2 linked regions of the Coturnix japonica genome follow. The protein of the gene in region 1 interacts with the protein of each later gene in a biochemical or structural test. Links are inferred from orthologs where the notes say so. Each region holds a gene or a part of one and is shown in the gene's direction. Other genes may lie near its edges.

Region 1 (4,056 bases):
AAACCTACTTTGGTAGTCTAGTGCTACATGATCTTGCTTTGAGATCTGTTGGGAGTACCCTTGCCTGAATGCTTGGTGATATTTTTCATTTAATACTAACCAGCTTTATTTATTGGTAGCTTTGTTTGCAGTCCCCAAAAATTACAAGCTTGTAGCTGCACCGTTGTTTGAGCTCTATGACAATGCACCAGGATACGGACCCATTATTTCCAGCCTTCCTCAGCTTTTGAGCAGGTACGTTGTGTTTGCTTGCACTGTGGTTCTGGGAGCCCGGGCCTTAAGGCAAAGCAAAATAAATCACTTTTGCTGTGTCAGGTGGAGGCTGCTCAGGAATAAAAACGTTTGCCTGTTCATGTTCCAGAATGTCAGTTAATTAAATGGAATAGAAGTCTCTCACTTGGTGTAACTCTTCCAATTTTAGGTTCAACTTTATTTACAACTGAGTTCCTGTCCAACACCTGAGGAATCTGATTGAAGAAGCCGTCTCTGTGAGCACAGCTTTATGATGTAGAAAAAAGAATGTGTTGACTCGAGGATTTCATTTTTGTTCCTTTCCCGAAGGCCACTAAGATTCTCTTGTATGAATAGAGAAGTGAATCTCAGCTGTTTAGGTAGCAGGATGGCAGCGTGATGTCAGTGATTTTATCACTTTCCATTGTAATACTCACCAGTTTTTTTTGTACGACATTAAACGAGATGGAACCGACTGGTTGTCTTTTGTGGAGTTTGTTCTTCCTGTAGTTGTCTTCTAGTTGGAAGAATGCGACTGAAACTTTGGAAGTACACGGCAGATGCTGAAAGCTGCTGGGGGAGGTGGTGCAGCCAGTGCCTGGAGGTGCTGGAGAGGAGCGGCACTGAGGGATGTGGATGGTTGGGCTCCGTGATCTCAGAGTCTATTCCAACTTAGTGATTCTGGATATTTTATGTAGCTCCAGGACTGACTGTAGGCGCTATAGCAGCGCGGTGTGCAGGCAGCAGCTCCAGGCACGGTGCCTCTCCGTTCACGGGCAGCCGTGCGAGCACCTGGCTCTTGTTGCAGCGTTCCGACAGCCCAGCCGGCCCGCACCGTGCGCCCGGCGCTCCGTTCTCTCGCTGTTACCCGGGAGCGGGGCCGCCGTAACCCCGCCCAAGGCCGCAGGGCCGCGCCGCAGCTCTGGGCGCCGAAGGAGCGCGGGCCGCGCTGCCGGAGTCCCGCCCGGTGACTCAGCGCGGGGCGGTGCGGGCCGAGGGGCGGCGCCGGCGGGCGGAAGGGCCGCAGGAAGCGGGGCCGAGAGGCGGCGGCGGCCGCGGGGCTCCGCGATGCCGCTCCTGTTCCTGGAGCGCTTCCCCTGGCCCAGCCTGCGCACGTACGCGGCGCTCAGCGGCCTGGCCCTGTTGGCCGCCGCCTTCAGCGCTCAGCGCGCCCTCAGCGCGGCCGGCGAGCAGCGGGCGGGCGGGCCGCGGGCCCTGGACGTGGCGTACTACCTGCTGTCCGACAGCCTCTGCGTCTGGGTGAGCCGGGCCGACGGGGGCCGTGGTGCTCTGGGGGCCGTGGTGCTCTGGGGGCCATAGTCTTGCTCCGCGTGCCGACATGGAGGCCCTTAGCGCCAGAACGTGCCGGGCCGGGTGAGCGGCTCCTCGGGCAGCGGCAGCTTTGTTTGCCGGGCGTTCTGCCGGGAGGGGTTCGCGTTTCTAGAAAGCGAGATGAGCGATCGGCCCGTGTCGTACGGAGGGCAGGGTTACGTTTCATCAGAGCTGCGCGGCGCACAAAGCAGCCTCTGTTGGGCTCCTCTCGGAGCGGGGCAGAAGGATCCGTCGCTGACTGCTTTGTTTCCGTGCAGGTGCTGGTGAACACGGCGTGCTGTGTCCTGATGCTGGTCGCTAAGCTGATCCAGCGCGCGGTGTTCGGCCCGCTGCGAGTCAGCGAGAGGCAGGTAAGGCAGCACAGCACTGCTGTGTTTGCTACGTGGAACTGCTGAACACACAGTATAAATAAGCTTTAAAACACATTTCAGCCCTATCTCTGAGTTCTCTGTGCTGGAGTTCTCAGTGCTGAGCGTGCTGTCCAGTAGCACCATGTAGAAAACAATCTCCCCAGGAGATACTCCTGTATCTGCAGTTAGAGGCTTCCAGTGTTTTTCTGGAGGGAACTTCATCATTGTTTAATGGTATTTTACAAGTTCGGGGTCAACTTGCAAACCCTTTGTACACATTGCCAGATTTCTTACAAGCCCACCTCAGTTCAGGGCACTCACAACATCTGTTTTCTTCCCTGTTTTGCTTGTATATGGTGACATTTCTCCACTGCATTTCCCAGTTAGGGAAGTGCCAGTGTTGCTAACTCGCACGCCTTGCTCTGTACCCTGAGTGCTGCACAAGTATGGGTGCTCTCCAGCCTCAGGCATGGAGGCGATGACATGCATGTGGCCAGGACTGAAATCTCACACTGCTATTTCCTGAACTTATCATGGGTGAGAAGGTTTGTCAGAACGCAGCTAAAGGACCATTACTGCTCAGGCTTTTTAAAGCAGGATCCTGCAAAAGATAAAAGCAGCAACAGCAGTAGTTGGGATAGTAGGTATCTTAAAAATAAACATGTAAACATAGTTCTCTAGGAAAAATCAGGCTGTGATCATTTTTGGCACAGGGAGCTGTGGCACGTAATGCTTTGTGAGTAGCCACAGGTCCCTCAAAGCCTGTTGTATCTGTGGTTCACTCCCTCAGAGCTTTTGAGTGAAGTATATAACAAGCAGGTAATTCAGTCACACTTGTTTTTTGGTCATGCATGTTGACAGTGAGGATGTGGAATTTTAACCAGCGATAATTCCCAGGTTCTCTCCTCTCTTTAAAAACTGAAGTGAGAGGCAGTGACTGGATTCGTTCGTTTTTGGATAGTGAGAGTGTGCTCTGCGGGTAGGCTGGTTATCGTTGCTGGTGAACCAACACTTGTCAGCATTGGGAAGGAATTCTGGGCATGTCTGAACTGTCCTGGTGGTTTCATTGTGTTCTTTAACAAAACGTGTGGATTGTCAGTGCTCTCTCCATAGTAACTGAGTGCCTTCCTTCCTTTCTTTTCAGCATCTCAAGGATAAGTTCTGGAATTTCATCTTCTACAAGTTCATCTTCATTTTTGGTGTGCTGAATGTTCAGACAGTGGAAGAAGTGGTCATGTGGTGCCTCTGGTTCTCTGGGCTTGTGTTTCTTCATCTCATGGTCCAGCTCTGTAAGGATCGCTTTGAATACGTAAGTTTTGATTTAAGGGCTCTCTTTTGGGGTTTGCAGATTTAGAGGCACTGGGTTAGGATAGGCTGCAAGCAGATCATTTAGGCCTCTTCCCCACCTGAGGTGCAGAACAAATGCACCTTCTTTTAGCTTCAAATGATTGCTTTGGAATGCCGTGTCAATCTTACTCCTTCAGTTTTCTCATCAGACAAGTAGAGCTGAAGATATGTATTCTCTTTAATGAATTGTTCCATATATGTGCCCCATAGTTACTGCTGCATAGCTCTGTGTCTTGTCTTCATTGCTCTTAGTGGAGAAATCTGGAGAGCAGAACTTCCCTTAGAACTTAGAACCTTAGTCCCTTTGGGACTGATCTGTAAAAGCTCACTTACATCTACCCAGTGCTGAGTCCCAACATCTACCCAGTACTGAGTCCCAAAGCCTTTACGACACCCAACACAACTTTCTTCATAAGCTGTGTGCAGTTTCTGTAAATTTGGTAGGGAGACCAGAAACTGAAAGCTAGGCAAGGGTGAAACGGGACATTGGACAGTAAGACTTGTTCTTTTAGCATCTATAATGCATGCGTGTTTTCCTCAGCTCCTCCATCCTGAAATAAGAGTTTGAACTAAACTGGATCCATGAATTTCCTCCTGGTAGTTTTATAATTCCTTTATTTTGTTATTAATATCCAGTAAGGCCTGTCACCTCACAAGGAGCTGAGCACCAAACTTGAGATGAGATGGGCTGGGGCTCAGGAAATGGAGAATAGAATGAACCGGGCGGTCATTGGGTCTTGGGCTTGTTCAGAGAGTTGTAAGAGAACAAAGTTCATGTGGGGAGAAATCATTATTA
Region 2 (2,719 bases), about 1.3 Mb from region 1:
TCGGTACACCTCGGCATTCAGCAGAAATACAGTTACAGCCTCTGGGTTCAGAGTAGAAAGGATAGGTGATGGGGAATCATCTTGCCCCCTCTTCTGGTGTAGTTGATTTTCCTTTTGGAAAACTATTGGAAGACAAAGTAACTCCTAGTGTAAAGCCACAGCGTCTCTGTGAAAGTTGGGAAGCAGTTGACAAGTGCTTGAAATCTTGGGAGGGAGCCTTGCTTCTTCTCTGTAAGTCATGTAGCCATGTGAGTTTTTGTTATTAGAACACAAAGCTTAAAGTGATGTTGTGAGTTGCTTCTAAGCTGCTCTAGAAGGCAAAAACGGGATAAATCATGAGTAGAATACAGATAGCCCGCCCTTGGGGGGCATTTCTGGGGTGTCTGTGTCCTCTCATACACTGTTTGATCACCAGTGAGGTAATGGGTGCAGGTCTGTGAGTTCCTGTCAGCCTCAGAGTTGAAACTGCAGCTTAAAAATGCACTTCTGTATGTGCGGACTTGTAGAAAGAAAGCCAATGGCTTCATCAACTCCTGAAATGCACTGTTGTTAGTCCCCATATGCAATGTTATTCAGTTACCTTGATGTGGCAGGAAGGAGTCGCGTGTAACCACACAAATATATTGCCTTCCCTCAGGCACCATGTTGGATGGTTCCCCTTTAGACAACGACGAGCACAGCCTTTCCCAGATAACGTCCCTCCTCAGGCTGCTGTAAACCAGGACCAGAACAATAACTTGCAGGTATTGTGTTTTATACAACATGAGCATGAGATGCAGTGAGGTTTTTACTGTGCATTAATTACACAAGCAGTGAGAATTCTGCATTGCCAGCCTGCTTCCTCTTGTGGGGCGCTGAAGTGCTGTGTGTTATCTTCTACTTGTTGGGTGTTGGAATGGCCTGTTGCAGCCTAAGTTCTGTAACGGAACTCAGGTTGGAGTATGAGAGCAGGTGGAGTCCTGCATTTCCAGCAATGCTTGGGGTTGTTGTCAGTGTTTGCTGAGTTAATTAGCTATAAAGGAAACAGCTGACCACATAAGCCATGTATGCATCTGTCCTAAGCAGTATATTCTTAACTTGGGTTCAGTATATTCTTAACTTGGGTTGTTGGGGGTTACTTCAATAGAGAAGCACTATGTAGGTTTTATACTGACAGTGCAATATGAGTAATGATGCAGCTTAGCACCCAATTACCCTAATGCACTTCTGCAGCGGTTCTCACTGAGTGTTCTTCCTTTCAGCAGGGAGGGAATGCAGGCGGAGCAGAGGAACCTGAGGCCCTTCCTGATGCTGGACAAGTTCTGCCAGAGCTGCCACAGGCCAACCCGTCCCTTATGAGCACAGCGTGGCTGTTCTTCAAGACCTTCTTTGCATCCCTTCTTCCAGAAGGGCCCAGACTGACTCGCAACTGAAGTGGCACCATTTCCTTCACTGGAATGTCAGTGAGCTCCAGTCCTGAGCAAATCAGATGCCAACCCCAAAGCAGGAGTGAAAACGTGTGGCATTTCTCTGGCCTTCACTGATGAAACTGCAAGAGGCCTTAAGTTGTTGCAATACAGACACAAGATGATTGCCCTCATTCCAAAGAACTTTCTTCCGTAGCATTTATTGGGTACCTTTGTAGAGGCTTGGCATTGTAATCTTGTGCACTAAATGCACAGGCTCTGAGCAGGTGTGCAGAGATGTTAGAGAAGCAAATTGCTTCTTCCGTGCAATGTGATTCCTGTTGGAATGTTTCAAATGCTATTTAAATTACACTGAGTGTAGTACCTTCAATTGCTAGATGAGCATTAGCAGGTTTTTAGGAAAGATCTACTGTTCAATTGCTTCAATGGTGTTTTAAATTCCGCTTTGTAAATATTTTCCTATGAGAGATGCATTGTGCCATTTCCTTGGCTGAAGGGGCAGCTGTGGGGCACAGTGACCTCAGTGGAGCTGCAGGTTTCCAACTGCCCAACACGTCCTTCATACTCAAGGCTGATTTCTTTTTCTCTGCTCTCAAATCATGGGAGAGGAGTTAAGTGCATTCAACTTCAATCAAGAGTTTATGCAAGACTTGATTTGACTGCTTTAGATATGAAATCAAAGCAGTCTGAGACCTGTATTTAATGTAGAGGCGTTTTCACTCGACAGCAACTCTGTTGTGTTTGTTTCCTTCGATGTGGCTGAGGGCTTTGATTCAATAAAATCTGCGGTCGCTTATCTGTACTTGCATGTGCTCTACAGCAGAGCACGTTGTGTGCTCTGCTTGAAATTGAAAGGCCATGAGGCTTTGGGTCAATTCAGGGTAAGTCTTAACAGCACCACCAACAATGTCTGAGTATGGGGTGGGCGGGGGTAGGGGAAGGGGCTCCAGTGGACAGCCTGGCCTTGTGCAGGGGACAGGCTGATGTCCCTGTGCTGCCCTCAGGGCTGGTTACTCCAGGGCAGAGATGTTTGATGTTTGTGGCACTGTTGTTGTAGGTGGAGGCTGCATGGCCCTTCCTTTCCTGCAGGAGGTCAATGCCCTGCAGTGCCTTGTCCTCCCCTGCCCTCCTGCAGGCTGTGAAGGAGCTGGGAATGGCTGAGGGGTAAAACTGATGCTGTGCTGTTCTGTCTTTAGCCCCTTGTTGAGGGCAACTTTAGGAACAGGAGGGAGATCATCTGTTTATAGGGTCTGATAGTGATAGGACAAAGGAAAATAGTCTTATACTAACAGGAGATGCAGGTTGGATGTCAG

What was found.
Region 2: of the proteins of AMFR (region 1) and HERPUD1, one has a biochemical effect on the other in vitro, tested with the Homo sapiens proteins (6 studies listed by BioGRID and IntAct, with this or other methods). The link is inferred for Coturnix japonica from reciprocal best matches to the Homo sapiens genes AMFR and HERPUD1.

What each region holds. Positions count from the first base shown.
Region 1 is NC_029526.1:517,822-521,877, reverse strand, and holds the start of AMFR (E3 ubiquitin-protein ligase AMFR), read left to right. Parts: upstream 1-1,237; 5' UTR 1,238-1,299; coding exon 1,300-1,491; intron 1,492-1,820; coding exon 1,821-1,913; intron 1,914-3,057; coding exon 3,058-3,222; intron 3,223-4,056. Other genes in the region: NUDT21 (cleavage and polyadenylation specificity factor subunit 5), read left to right, coding at 120-234, 422-443. UniProt on the Homo sapiens protein: E3 ubiquitin-protein ligase that mediates the polyubiquitination of lysine and cysteine residues on target proteins, such as CD3D, CYP3A4, CFTR, INSIG1, SOAT2/ACAT2 and APOB for proteasomal degradation.
Region 2 is NC_029526.1:1,857,917-1,860,635, reverse strand, and holds the end of HERPUD1 (homocysteine-responsive endoplasmic reticulum-resident ubiquitin-like domain member 1 protein), read left to right. Parts: intron 1-637; coding exon 638-743; intron 744-1,241; coding exon 1,242-1,412; 3' UTR 1,413-2,208; downstream 2,209-2,719. UniProt on the Homo sapiens protein: Component of the endoplasmic reticulum quality control (ERQC) system also called ER-associated degradation (ERAD) involved in ubiquitin-dependent degradation of misfolded endoplasmic reticulum proteins.